Linked DNA regions of Saccharomyces cerevisiae S288C. Each later gene encodes a partner of the first gene's protein in a complex. Each region holds a gene or a part of one and is shown in the gene's direction. Other genes may lie near its edges.

Region 1 (10,489 bases):
GGTGCAAAATTGTTCTATTCATTGAGTCTTCCAAAATTAAACATGGATATAAATAATCTAGAAGTGCCTCAAAAGTACCAGAGTCGTAATTATTTACTGATTTGACAGCTTTCACTAGGCATGACTCCCCCATATTATCACCATATAATCTGTTTGAACCATGCTTAACCAGGTGTTTCACTAATTCCAGGTTTGCTATTGAAGTCAGCCAATGTAATGGTGTGTTTCCATGCTCATCTACAGGAATATTAAGATTTAATTGAGTATTAGGAAAAGCGTCGTTTACCTCTTGCAAAAGGCTATCAAATGATACGTGCTGTTGTTGTTGGTTTGAGCTCCCCCCTTCTGAATTTCTATTACTGCTGTCATTATTAAGGGATGTAGGCATTTCTTGAATTTCTGGAAATAACAACCGTTGTAAGAATGCCTCTAGTTTCATCTTCTGTTCATTATCATTTACAACTGGAGAAGGTAGTGCTTTCATGATTTTCAGTGGACTGCTTAAAAAGTCAGAAGTTAGGTCATGAGTGAATGTTATGATAGGTCCAGCGGTTCTGTCATTGTCATCAGTGCCATTATTTTCATTGTCGCCGCTAGGGCCCTTATTAATATCATCGTTAGGCTTGCCTCTGGCAGTATTCGGAGTGGAGTCACTCTCAGCATCTATTACAGAGGTATCTATTTTTAGTTTTTTTAAAGGAGAGCCTAATTCTCTGTGTGCATCAGAATCCAGGCTCATATCTTGTAAATTATTAATCCTCTTTGAGCTGATATTATCCTTAGAATTTTCACTTTTGGTCTTGTTTTCTGGTAGTTTCGAATGGCTGGGATCTTCTTCATCCTGATCTGTTTCAGGCTCCTCAAATTCGAATGCATCCTGGAACAAACCGAATAAATTTAGCATGTTTAATAATTGTAAACATTTTTCCAGCTCTATCCATAACTCACCTCGGTCGTCTGTATTTACAGCAATTCCATAATGTGCCAGTAATTTATTTCTTTCCTCATCAGTGGGGAAACTATCGGGGTTGGTCTCGTTAATATTCCCCGTGTCATGATATTGCTGCAAAATGGGCAGAAAATGTTTCAGGAGGAAATGGCCAGTCTCCGAGTCTCTAGTGAGTGTCAAAGGGATCTCATTGTGAGGTCCTAAGTATCGTACCACTTCTTCCAACGCCATCCTCTCGAGAATTATACTGTGTTCCCCTTTATTATTCTTTTTTTTTTAGCTATTGCTTAGTTCATATTGATGTTTCTCAATCGTGTTTTTTGTTGTTTTTTTTTATTATTATGAAATCGTTGGAGAAGGAAACTAAAAAAAAAAACTAAGATTTGGTGAATGATCTTATCCAAACGGTCCAGATGAAGACAAAAAAAGGAACAATAAGCTTTCTTATTTTATTTGATTCAATTTTTAGAAACTAATTGTCCACATTTTAAATAAATTCTATGGCTAGTAACGCTGCAAGGGTTGTCGCTACAGCGAAGGATTTTGACAAAGTTGGGTTAGGGATCATCGGATACTATCTTCAGTTATATGCGGTGGAATTGATACTGAGTGAAGAAGATCGGTCGCAAGAGATGACCGCACTAGCGACAGAACTTCTTGATACTATTGAAGCGTTTAAGAAGGAGATTGGCGGCGAGAGTGAAGCAGAAGACAGTGACAAAAGCTTACACGTTATGAACACGCTAATACATGATCAAGAAAAAGCCAAAATTTATATGCTAAATTTTACAATGTCGTTGTATAACGAGAAACTGAAACAGCTAAAAGATGGTCCCTGGGATGTTATGTTAAAAAGATCACTTTGGTGTTGTATTGATTTATTTTCATGCATTTTACACCTGTGGAAGGAAAATATAAGTGAAACGAGTACAAATTCATTACAAAAACGAATTAAGTATTGCAAAATTTATTTGAGTAAATTGGCAAAGGGTGAAATTGGTTCCAGCGACGAGAAAACGTTAGATTATGCAGATTTTGCGGATGATAGCGAGGAGATTAAGGATGAAGATGTTGATCACCAGACAAGCGATTTGGAAAACAATAATAATGATAAAGTCGAAGGCCTAGCCCCAAAAGACCAAACAACATCATACGAGCCTGTGGATGAGGTACCTGAATTTATTGATGATGCCGATAGCGTAAACGAAGAAGAACAGACCGTCGACAAGAACGAAGATGCAATAACAAAAGACGAACAACAAGTTGTGAAGAAAGAAGTGGATCTTACGCGCCCTTCTGCACCATCAGAACCTGCTGCAGCAGAGCATAAATCGTATACAAAGGATGAGTTGACAAAAATTATGGACAGGGCCAGTAAAATAGAGCAAATTCAAAAACTTGCCAAATACGCCATAAGCGCATTGAATTATGAAGACCTGCCCACCGCCAAAGATGAGTTAACTAAGGCGTTGGATCTGTTAAATTCTATTTGAATAAGATAAAGTTTGGTTTGTTGATCCGTTGAAGGAGGTATATATTAATATTAGTAGTTACGTATTAAATGTTAGAAAGGAAAAGGAATCCTGTATAATGCAAAATGAAATCGATACAAATTTGATTTGAGAAAAATGAGTCTATATCAAGAATATGATGGTATTGCGTCCCTGCATCAAATACGGTATAATGTACATGTTGACTTGTGTTGAGCAAATGAAAACATGGGAGGTTGAAGGCAGAAAAAAGTCCAAAAGGAAAAAAGCTTAGAACTTCAAAGTCTTAGGCTTTTCCCATGGGTATTCTTGGTTTGTGAAATGGCCATAAGAAGCGGTTGGCAAGTAGATTGGTCTAGCTAAGTCCAACTCCTTGACCAATACACCAGGTCTCAAGTCAAAGTTCTTGCTGATAATGTCGATAATTTCTTCGTCAGACTTGGTCGCAGTACCATAGGTGTCAACGTGCAAGGACAATGGTTCCGCAATACCGATGGCATAAGAAAATTGAACTTGAACTCTCTTACATAAACCAGCGGCAACTAGGGACTTGGCAACCCATCTAGCGGCATAAGCGGCAGAACGATCAACCTTAGAGTAGTCCTTACCGGAGAAGGCACCACCACCGACGGATGAGGCACCACCGTAAGCGTCGACGATGATCTTTCTACCGGTCAAACCAGCGTCACCTTGAGGACCACCGATGACGAATCTACCGGAAGGTTGGATAAAGTATTTGGTGTTTTCGTCCAACATGTCTCTTGGGATGACTTTTTCAATGATCTCGGACTTTAGTTGCGCTCTTAAGTCCTCGGTCGTGATTTCGTCAGCATGTTGAGCGGAGACGACGACGGTGTCGATTCTTTGTGGAACCCATCTACCGTGGTCATCCTTGTATTCGACGGTGACTTGAGTCTTGGTGTCTGGTCTCAACCACGCTAAAGAGCCATCTCTTCTCGCGTCAGCCATGGCCATGTTTAGTTTATGAGCCAAAAGAATAGTCAAAGGCAAACCCTCTGGAGTTTCATCTGTGGCGTAACCAAACATGATACCTTGGTCACCGGCACCGATGTCTTCCAAATCCTTCTCCTCGTGGACACCTTGGGCGATATCTGGAGATTGTTGCTCAATGGCGACAAGGACGTTACAGGTCTTATAGTCGAAACCCTTGGCGGAATCATCGTAACCAATCTTCTTGATGGTGTCTCTGACGATTTTTTGGTAATCCAACTGTGCCTTGGTAGTAATTTCACCAAAGACCATAATCATACCAGTCTTTGCCGCGGTTTCACACGCAACTTTGGAGTGAGGGTCCTCGGCTAAACAAGCGTCCAAGATGGCGTCGGAAACTTGGTCACAGATCTTATCTGGGTGACCTTCACCAACGGATTCAGAAGTGAATAAAAATGTACCGGCCATATTTTCGTTTATCTTATTTTTTCTTGTTTTTAGGGTAAATTCCTGGTTTTTACTCTATTTTTTTTTCGAAGCTAACCGAAAAACAACGATGAATAACAGACAACACCAGTCGATATATACGTCCCAAACCAATCCCATTAAGTACTAAACGGAAAACTTTTTACTCTTCCCTTTTTCATCGATACCAGAGTGAAAAACTACGATGAGGCTAAAATTTCCTCGAGACAAGAACCCGAAAAAAGAAATGCACTAGTAGGCAAGGGCGCCACCACAGTTTTCCTGTGAAAAAAAAAAAAGAAAGTATTCGTGTGTAGTGATATATAACTTTATCTTCAAATTCTATTTCCGTCTTACGTCCGTTTCGGTACCTTTTTTTCAAAAGATCTTGCCTGACATTTTTTTGAACAATATAAAAGTGCCAAGCGTGCTCATTATTGGAAGTGCGCACCAGGTGAGGAATTGAATGTTGCCATCAATTGTTTGAGTAAACACTGCCCATCTGCCACTTTCGGTACCCATCCGAGTACTTAGTAATAGAAATATATATTATGTCTAGTGCCATCGTTGCTAAACTGAACAAAGAGGACATCATTAAGGACACCGTCAAGGACTTGGCGTTCGAGATTCTTGGTGAGTTGTCGGTTTCGTACGTTGATTCTGACGACATCAAATTGGGCAATCCCATGCCAATGGAAGCTACGCAAGCCGCTCCTACCATCAAGTTCACGCCCTTCGATAAAAGCCAATTGTCAGCCGAGGATAAACTCGCTTTGTTGATGACTGACCCGGACGCGCCCTCTAGAACAGAACATAAGTGGTCGGAGGTTTGTCACTACATCATCACTGATATTCCTGTCGAGTACGGACCTGGGGGAGATATTGCCATTTCGGGGAAGGGTGTCGTGAGAAATAACTATATTGGGCCTGGTCCACCAAAGAACTCCGGTTATCACAGATACGTGTTCTTCCTGTGCAAGCAACCCAAGGGAGCGGATTCGTCCACTTTTACCAAGGTTGAGAACATTATCTCCTGGGGGTACGGTACTCCTGGTGCGGGTGCCTATGACTATATCAAGGAGAACAATCTGCAACTGGTCGGTGCCAATTATTACATGGTCGAAAACACGACCGTTGATTTCAACTATGACATGTAAGGTGCAGCAACCGGCTCGTATAGATACGGATAAGATAGAGTATATTGTGCAAACGCGTATATGAAATAGTGAATATATACATGCCGAACGGTTCCGTTTTTTTTTTTTTTGGCTCGTTGATTTTTCCTATCCCTTTGAACTTTTCTATCTTTTAAGGGATAGAGGGGCTGTTCAGGGAAGGAAAGATCTCAATTGGTATATAAAAAGGGGGCAGCAAGAAACGAATTGCAGTGCTCCTTTTCCCTACCAGTGCATCAATACAAGAACAAGAGAACAAGCAAAAAACATGAACCAAGCAATAGACTTCGCACAAGCAAGCATTGACTCCTACAAGAAGCACGGCATTCTGGAGGATGTAATTCATGACACAAGCTTTCAACCCTCCGGGATACTTGCCGTAGAGTACTCATCAAGTGCACCTGTTGCCATGGGTAACACGCTGCCCACTGAGAAGGCACGTTCCAAGCCCCAATTCCAGTTCACGTTCAATAAGCAAATGCAAAAAAGCGTACCACAGGCGAATGCGTACGTTCCCCAAGACGACGATTTGTTCACACTGGTAATGACCGATCCGGATGCTCCCTCTAAGACAGATCACAAGTGGTCTGAATTCTGCCACTTGGTAGAATGCGACTTAAAGCTGTTGAATGAGGCTACTCACGAGACCTCCGGAGCAACCGAATTTTTTGCATCAGAGTTCAATACGAAGGGCTCGAACACACTAATAGAATATATGGGACCAGCTCCACCCAAGGGATCCGGTCCCCACAGATATGTTTTCTTGTTATATAAGCAGCCTAAGGGCGTGGACTCATCTAAGTTCTCGAAAATTAAGGATAGACCGAACTGGGGTTACGGCACCCCTGCCACCGGTGTTGGCAAATGGGCTAAGGAAAACAACCTGCAACTAGTTGCCTCCAATTTCTTCTATGCGGAAACGAAATAGGTATATATATATATATATGTATATGTATTTATTTTTTAGATTTCAGTGCTTTTCACTTGACTTTTTATTATTTTTGTTTTATTTATGTTTTTGTCACAAACGCGCACATGTTTGTAGGGAGTAATGTCATTGTCAAACAAAACACATAAGAAAAACATGGTGAGATTATTAAAAAAGTGTATAAGTTTATAAAATGTTTATAATGATTATATAAGTTTGGGTTAGCCGAACAAAACCTTCACCAATTCCATATAAACACCGATCTGGAAGTCGTCCAGTTTCAAGCGATTCAGTTCAGGGGCCACGACAATTCCAGTGTTGTCCATGGAATAGTGGGACATCATATCCTGATACATCTCCCACTCAAACTTGTTTGAATCATAAAATTTGGAATCTATCGATAAATTGTTCGGTATAGCACAAAGCCAAATTCTTGTTTTGTAAAACTTAAAGAGTTCTTTGATCAGGTCTCTGAAATCATTACGCTCCTGGCAAATGTAGTAGAAAGTCAATTTCTTTCTGTCGAATTGGAACTCTGCATTCAATATTTTGATGTTCAACCCGCCACCGGAGTTATTGTTATTTAGCGACCTCAGTTTTAGCTGTGCAATGTGAAGAGCCTTTAGCTCATCCTGGAATTTGTTGTGTAAATTCGTGGAGGATTCCCACGGGGTGGCAAATCTCAGAACCTGCTTTGATGGGATGATCAATTGCGTTAGTTCAATGATATCATATAACTTCGGATTCAACTCATGAGCGACCGGCTTACCATTGGTTGTATCAACCAGAGTCTTGATAAACTGGTCATTGGGGAAATGCTGTTGACTATTGGTGATTAGAGAATCAAAGTGAATTTTTTTCTTCAAAAAATTTATAAATAGTGCCAAATTTATATCTACAACCGGTTCCACCACCAAAACTAAATCTTTACCACGATCACCATCAATAATGACCAAATCGCCCCTTTTCAGTATAAGTGTGGCCGTTTGTGGTTTAGACAACAGTTCGAGCTTACCATTTTTCAACGATACTAACACTAATGGCTTATAGTGCAAATGCATTGAAGTGCTGTTCTTGGATTTGGCCGCCCCGGTCGACGAAGCGTTTGAAACAGCAGTGGAGATGAATGCGTCAGACTGTGGGTTGTAATTCAGATTACAATTTTTCAAAAAATCCAAAAACTCTATAATCCTGGAACTGGAGGCGGAGACATTATCCCCGCGTAAAGTTCCCTTTATGCTGTCAATAAATTTATAAACTTTATCACTAGCAAAATAGTTTGACCCGCAGTCAAGATATAAGTCATGCAGCTCCTTGGATGACGTCAAATTCTTGCCGTCGACAACCGCCAATCCGGCATCGTTTGTGGGAGCGGCTGCCGGATGCAAGTTCAGCACTGGCTGGGTGTTGCGCCTAGCATTGAAGGGTGACGAGTACTGTTGCTGCTGAGTATACTCGGAAGGAGCAGTGTATGGTACTTGCAAAGATGGGTTGTTGTTAATATATACAGGTTGCGAGTATTGTGGTTGCTGGGTAGCCGCATTGCCATGAATCAGCGCATCAGAAATATAGGAAGATCTTCTTCCCGGGTCAAAGATGCTTTGTTGCTGTTGCTGCTGCTGCTGCTGCTGCTGCTGCTGCTGTTTCTGTGGATAGTATTTTTGGGAGCTGTTGTTTAAGGGAGAAAGAATATTGTTAGGCGAAGTGTTCATCACATTCAAGTAATCCTGTTTGTATGGCTTTCTGTCCTGAGTCGGGGTGCCGTTAAACTCAAATGAGAAAAGAGACAAATTAGGGCTCTTCCCGTTAATGCTCATCTCGCTCTGTTTCCTTCCTTCGTCCGCAAATGCGCTGAACGAGGCCCTTTTAGTGTTCTTCTGCCCCAGAAGAGACTGCTTATCCTCTCTGAAACCGATGTAACCGTTGATAAAGTCAACTCTGGAGCGGGGATGCGCAGCAGCGCTGTTGTCGTTAAAATCTGCCATTTTTCCTGGCAAATCCGCTAGCGACTTGCCACTATTGTTCTTGAACAGCAACTTGTCATAGTAATTCCTTAACTCCTGGTTGTCGGATATACTTGTGGTGCTATTTATTGAAGGCAGCTCCATGGTACCCTATTTCTATCTTTATTCCTGTGTCTATACGTCTATGCACTCTAGTGAGCTGATATTGAATGGCGCCTCCTCTCTCCATTGTTCTTTTATTGTTTATATACTGTGCCAGCGATCCCCGCGTGTCCTGCCCCTGAAACACCGGCGCAGGAACCCCTTGAGCGTGGGGAAGGGGAAGGTTCAATTTACGGGCAGCTCGAGCTGCCCGTAAATTGAACCACACTCTCTTGGTATTTGGATAATCAAGTGTGTACATACTTTGTGCAAGTGGGATTTACCCTACACCTCTCGAGGCCTTGTCCTACGATAGTCGTAATAACGCAGACAGCACCAGCGATACAGCAGCACCAACACACCAAGAAAAATAACCATCAACCGTACGGAAGCCCCTTTGTATGCTGGGTAGCTGATGTGCACCTAAATCAGCCGGGCGTGGCAGCAGTCGACGCATACTTGTTTCTTTAGCTCTATTCTTGTTACAGGACCATCTAGGTATGCAAAAACGAAGGTGCGGTTTTTCCTATCTGGTACGGTGCGGAAGAGGGAAAGAAGAAACGAAGGTCCAATGGTAGCGCCACTCCACGATATACAGCTTCGTTGGTAAAACCACGAGTTTGGAATCAAACTCGTGGCTCACCTATGGATCTTCGGATTTTATTTCAAGCACGGTCACCTCCCCTTCGTTGCGGTTTCTTGCGCACGTTTGTGGTGTCTATTGCTGCAACAGTTGAACCTGTTTTTGATTTCGTAATTTTTCTCCTGTCGTTTCGTGTTGTCATGGCGATTTGGGAAAAAGTTGAAAAAAAAAATAGCAGTAAATGGTAATCTTCAAAGAACGCAAACCAACAGAAAACCTTTTCACTAGAAAAATACCTGCCAAGTACTTCATCTTCTCGCCTAGTTTTTTGTCTGTTCATTATTTTGAATTTTATTTGCCCATGTCCGGTGATAATAACATTGAACCTACTAGTCGGGGCTCGAACGACAATAGCAACGGTCCAAGTAACGGATCTTCGGTAAACAGTAATCGGTACAGTTTAAACGCACCCAAGTACAGCAGCCAACCACCGCCAGCATCACACACTTATTTGCCCCCCATGTCAGTGAATATCCCGCCCATAGCGAGCAAATCATCGTCAATATACAGCCTGCTACACCAAAGTTCCCCCCGCCCGGAGACGCCAAATCCAATATTACCGCCACTTATCGGTAGTGGTCCCGGCTCCCATAAACCATCTCCTACCCCTACACAGCCTCCTGCACAACCCGCAACACAACGGCAACCTGCCACATACTCAGTGTATCCAGCGTCTATCAGCCTGAATAGATCGAATTCATCTGCTTACCCACTTTCTTTCAAGTCAGAGGAAACCTTAAACAATAATCCTCCTACTGCTGCCAAACGTACCAATACCTTCCCCTCAATTCCAAGCAGTACGAAAAAACAGAAAACAAGCCAAGAGAAACGAATCTCTTCCATTTCAAGGAGAAACACGCAAGAAATAATTGCTAAGCAAATTGCAGAAAATAACAAATCTAAAACCATCGAGGAGTATGCGCAGATCGTGAAGCATGCAGAAATCAAAGTCCTGAGCATGGACTCACAGAACACTTCAAAGGCAGCTTTGCAGCTGGCGGAACAAAACAGAGAAAGAGAAAGACAAGTGTTTGCGTTACTTTGGTTAATGAAAAATTGTAAATCTCAGCACGATAGTTACGTACCAAGAGGCAAAATATTTGCTCAATACGCTTCATCTTGTTCCCAAAACAACCTGAAGCCCTTATCACAGGCGTCATTAGGGAAGTTGATAAGAACAGTTTTTCCTGATTTAACGACTAGAAGGCTGGGTATGAGAGGTCAATCCAAATACCACTACTGCGGATTGAAACTAACTGTCAACGAAAGCGGCTCCGTGTCCCTTAATAACAACAATGCTTCGTTATCCTTAGTACACAATAACGATCCCATATCGCCCCTATCGTCTCCATCGCCCTCTTCACCTTCGCCGCAGGTACCTAACGTTTCATCGCCGTTCTCATTAAATAGAAAAAGTCTTTCTCGAACTGGGTCGCCCGTTAAACAGAGTAGTAATGACAACCCTAACGAACCAGAACTCGAATCACAGCATCCAAACGAAACAGAAGCAAATAAACTAGATTCGCTGCCACCAGCGGCAAATAACCCTACCGGAACACTGTCTTCAGATGAATTAACTTTCACTCATGATTTAATTGAAAAAGTTTTCAATTGTAATGACAAGCTATCAGATAACTATAATACCCAAATATTATCGAACACAGAACATCCGCTTTTGACATCATATAAGTTAGACTTCCCAAAAATTCCCGCAGGTGTACTCCCCACAGACACTGATTCGGATGTTATATCATCCTTGGAGTCATTATATCATATCCATTGC
Region 2 (3,975 bases), on another chromosome or scaffold:
GGCGGGCAGTTTCTCAAGTTTCTCCTGTTCGGTCAACTCGTTTAATAAACATTCTAGCGAATTCATATCGTTGTGGTTGAAGTAGTAGACTGTGGATCTGCTTAGTTGCAGAGCATTTTGCACTGGTAATGACACCTGGTCGTCTGCCACGATAACATCACCACGCTTTGTGAAAGCAGGCAGAACAGAGGGTGCGGCACAAAAGTCTTGCCCGTACAGAACGGAACCTTGGGTGCCAAAGAACTGTGCTAAATCATATTCCAACGTGTAATGAACGTCCTGGTTACCGTAGAACCCGGCGGGACCACAGGCGCCCACACCGTAATTCTTGATAGTGGTCTTGACCACTTCTTTCACGGGCTCCGTAGCGGACAATTGCAAAAAGTTGTTCGAGGCCAAATTGAAAACATTGGTATACTTCTCCTGCAGGTTGTTTCTGGTGATAGTAATATGGTTCTGAATGGGCATTTCCATGGTGACGGGTGTTTTGGCCACCCTCCACGATTGCTCATCGGTGGCAGAAGGGTCGACTAGAGGCTCGGGCTCCCAGTCCTCAATTAGCGCGTCAATCTCCTGGGGCGATAGGTTGGGCTTCTGTGCTTGAAGACTCTTTTTCTGTTGTGGCTTGGACAAGTAATAGATGATCCCGTATAAAATAAGCCCTATCTCAACCGTGGTCCTGTATGGATCGTCATGATGCGATTTCTTGATGTACGAAACGATGAATTGGCCTCCCGGGATTTGAGTCAACACCAGATTGAAGTAGTACCATAGGTACGATGAGGTGGTAACAATAAATGCCGGAATCGGTATTGATTTGGGTAAAACCTCTGGGATGTGTGCCATTGCTTTTTTTTTTTGGGTGGGAAGGAAGAAAAAAGGATAAATAACCCTACACGAGCAAAATGTGTATATTGGAGGCCAGGCAGAAGGTTAGAGCGCTCTTATACTGTGCTACTCGATGATGTTGAAAAGAATTTTTTTTATTTTTCCTTTTCTTTTTCTTAAGTACTATATTTTCTCAATCTTACTTTCGTTCACTACAGTTAACCGCAGCAATATGCCCCTATAAAAAAGAATGAGTGAAAAATTTGTTAGCAGAGAAGCAAGAAGGAAAGAAGGAAAAAAAAAAGAAACCGTGTAAGAAATCATGGCGCCTCAAAAAAAAAAAAATACGCGAAATCGATTTCCGTATATGATGATACATATGTTAGGTCTCTTATGGTAGTTTTTAGGGTCTGTCCTGTTTTTTGAAGGCATTGGTTAGGGTCTAGTAAGTAACTCGTATAAAGAGATGTACTTTTATACGGTATGTGTGGCGGTTATTTCCAGTGTTTTTTTTCCCTTATTTTGTGGGTTCATGGAAATAGTACATATTGACCTTCTGCACAAGAAGCCATATTGACAGAGCAGTATGTGAGGACCTTTCTTCTACACAATGTAACAGTCAATGGTTGTAGTCAATACCACGACCTTTACGTGCAGTTTTAGAGCGAAACTTCGGTTTTTTGAGACTTACCTCGTGTTTGTGTCTCCCTGGGAATGGAGCCGCGCCACCCTTGTCTATTATGTATAGTCTTATTTAATCATAGCGATGTTGGTCATCCAGTACACTTCGGTAGCAACCTTCGTTTGTGATTGTCTTGGTAATTGCTTCCAACAACTTTATCCATCATTGAGACAGGGGCCATATCACCCGCGGGGTCTCAAAGAAGGGGCCCACTAATAAAAGCACGAGATAAGAATGCCAGCAAAAAAGCTCCGAAATAATTCTTTTCGTCTTCCCTCCTAGTCTTAACAAGACAAGAGAGAGAGAGAGAAAGAATACTCACTAGAGATTGTTTCTTTTCTACTCAACTTAAAGTATACATACGCTATGAAAGCATTCACCAGTTTACTATGTGGACTAGGCCTGTCCACTACACTCGCTAAGGCCATCTCATTGCAAAGACCGTTGGGTCTAGATAAGGACGTTTTGCTGCAAGCTGCGGAAAAATTTGGTTTGGACCTCGACCTGGATCATCTCTTGAAGGAGTTGGACTCCAATGTATTGGACGCTTGGGCCCAAATAGAGCATTTGTACCCAAACCAGGTTATGAGCCTTGAAACTTCCACTAAGCCAAAATTCCCTGAAGCAATCAAAACGAAGAAAGACTGGGACTTTGTGGTCAAGAATGACGCAATTGAAAACTATCAGCTTCGTGTCAACAAGATTAAGGACCCTAAAATCCTGGGCATTGACCCAAATGTCACACAGTACACGGGTTACTTGGATGTGGAAGACGAGGACAAGCATTTCTTCTTTTGGACTTTTGAAAGTAGAAACGATCCTGCAAAGGATCCGGTCATCCTTTGGTTGAACGGGGGTCCAGGTTGTTCTTCACTAACCGGGCTGTTCTTTGAATTAGGACCCTCATCCATTGGACCTGATTTGAAACCCATCGGGAACCCTTACTCTTGGAACAGCAATGCCACCGTGATCTTCCTTGACCAGCCTGTCAACGTTGGGTTCTCGTATTCCGGGTCCTCAGGTGTTTCCAACACTGTCGCCGCTGGTAAGGATGTCTATAACTTCTTGGAGTTGTTCTTCGATCAGTTCCCTGAATACGTCAACAAGGGCCAAGATTTCCACATCGCTGGGGAATCCTACGCCGGCCATTACATCCCTGTTTTTGCCTCTGAAATTTTGTCTCACAAGGACAGAAACTTCAACTTAACCTCCGTCTTGATCGGAAATGGCCTCACTGACCCATTGACTCAGTATAACTATTACGAACCAATGGCCTGTGGTGAAGGTGGCGAACCATCTGTTTTGCCCTCGGAGGAATGCTCTGCTATGGAAGACTCTTTGGAACGTTGTTTGGGCTTGATCGAGTCGTGCTATGACTCGCAATCCGTCTGGTCCTGTGTTCCAGCTACCATTTATTGTAATAACGCCCAATTGGCTCCTTACCAACGTACCGGCAGAAACGTTTACGATATCAGGAAGGATTGTGAAGGTGGCAATTTGTGCTACCCAACGTTACAAGATATCGACGACTACTTAAACCAGGACTACGTCAAAGAAGCTGTCGGTGCGGAGGTTGACCACTACGAATCCTGTAACTTCGATATCAACAGAAATTTCCTGTTTGCGGGTGATTGGATGAAGCCTTACCACACCGCCGTAACAGATCTTTTGAATCAAGACCTACCCATTCTGGTATATGCAGGCGATAAAGATTTCATCTGTAACTGGTTGGGTAATAAGGCGTGGACGGATGTCTTGCCATGGAAGTACGACGAAGAATTTGCAAGCCAAAAAGTACGTAACTGGACTGCTTCTATCACCGACGAGGTCGCTGGTGAAGTCAAATCCTACAAGCACTTCACCTATTTGAGAGTCTTCAATGGTGGCCACATGGTTCCATTTGACGTCCCTGAAAACGCCTTAAGTATGGTTAACGAATGGATCCACGGTGGTTTCTCCTTATAAAGCGTGTATGTGTAGGCATACCGTTTTTATTATCAGCTACGATCGAAATATATACGTTTTTATCTATGTTACGTTATATATTGTAGTCTTAACCATTTGTAAGTTTTGCTTCTTTTCTTTTATTCATTTCATAACATCATACTGTTTTACGTAATACCATCCTTAACTTTTTCCACCGAAGGGGAGGAAGAACTAAATTCTAGAAAAATGAAACCATTAAAAAAAAAGAAAACAATAGAGCTGCTTCTACAATTTTGCACATCAAAAAAGACCTCCAACTACCGAGTTTGTAAGTACAATGTCTCAACCCACTCCCATCATAACTACAAAATCAGCTGCTAAGCCAAAACCAAAAATTTTTAATTTATTCCGCGTTTGCTTCATTTCATTATTGCTGATCGCTGCGGTTGAATACTTCAAGTATGGTACAAGAATTAACTATGAATGGTTCCATTGTACCCCAATCAAAGAACCCCAGTCTGGCTCAGTAATCAAGCTTT

What was found.
Region 2: the proteins of TFS1 (region 1) and PRC1 are in contact, whole or in part, in a crystal structure (PDB 1WPX), measured with the Saccharomyces cerevisiae proteins. Residues at the interface, in NP_013279.1 of Saccharomyces cerevisiae: Met1 (codon at 5,299), Asn2 (codon at 5,302), Gln3 (codon at 5,305), Ala4 (codon at 5,308), Ile5 (codon at 5,311), Phe7 (codon at 5,317), Ala10 (codon at 5,326), Ser11 (codon at 5,329), Asp13 (codon at 5,335), Ser14 (codon at 5,338), Lys17 (codon at 5,347), His18 (codon at 5,350), Ile35 (codon at 5,401), Ala37 (codon at 5,407), Val38 (codon at 5,410), Glu39 (codon at 5,413), Pro45 (codon at 5,431), Val46 (codon at 5,434), Ala47 (codon at 5,437), Met48 (codon at 5,440), Gly49 (codon at 5,443), Asn50 (codon at 5,446), Thr51 (codon at 5,449), Gln62 (codon at 5,482), Phe63 (codon at 5,485), Gln64 (codon at 5,488), Thr66 (codon at 5,494), Asn68 (codon at 5,500), Gln70 (codon at 5,506), Phe133 (codon at 5,695); in NP_014026.1 of Saccharomyces cerevisiae: Gly164 (codon at 2,366), Ser217 (codon at 2,525), Ser221 (codon at 2,537), Ser257 (codon at 2,645), Tyr258 (codon at 2,648), Leu289 (codon at 2,741), Arg327 (codon at 2,855), Leu331 (codon at 2,867), Val341 (codon at 2,897), Trp342 (codon at 2,900), Val345 (codon at 2,909), Pro346 (codon at 2,912), Thr348 (codon at 2,918), Ile349 (codon at 2,921), Tyr350 (codon at 2,924), Asn352 (codon at 2,930), Asn353 (codon at 2,933), Leu356 (codon at 2,942), Ala357 (codon at 2,945), Gln360 (codon at 2,954), Arg361 (codon at 2,957), Val366 (codon at 2,972), Tyr367 (codon at 2,975), Cys373 (codon at 2,993), Asn377 (codon at 3,005), Cys379 (codon at 3,011), Cys409 (codon at 3,101), Asn410 (codon at 3,104), Phe411 (codon at 3,107), Asp412 (codon at 3,110).

What each region holds. Positions count from the first base shown.
Region 1 is NC_001144.5:508,631-519,119, reverse strand, and holds TFS1 (Tfs1p), read left to right. Parts: upstream 1-5,298; coding exon 5,299-5,958; downstream 5,959-10,489. Other genes in the region: transcriptional regulator SWI6, read right to left, coding at 1-1,180; VTA1 (Vta1p), read left to right, coding at 1,450-2,442; methionine adenosyltransferase SAM1, read right to left, coding at 2,710-3,858; YLR179C (uncharacterized protein), read left to right, coding at 4,407-5,012; YLR177W (uncharacterized protein), read right to left, coding at 6,180-8,066; RFX1 (Rfx1p), read left to right, coding at 8,888-10,489. UniProt on the Saccharomyces cerevisiae protein: Specific and potent inhibitor of carboxypeptidase Y.
Region 2 is NC_001145.3:860,046-864,020, forward strand, and holds PRC1 (carboxypeptidase C PRC1), read left to right. Parts: upstream 1-1,876; coding exon 1,877-3,475; downstream 3,476-3,975. Other genes in the region: serine C-palmitoyltransferase LCB1, read right to left, coding at 1-846; sphingosine N-acyltransferase subunit LIP1, read left to right, coding at 3,774-3,975. UniProt on the Saccharomyces cerevisiae protein: Vacuolar serine-type carboxypeptidase involved in degradation of small peptides. Digests preferentially peptides containing an aliphatic or hydrophobic residue in P1' position, as well as methionine, leucine or phenylalanine in P1 position of ester substrate.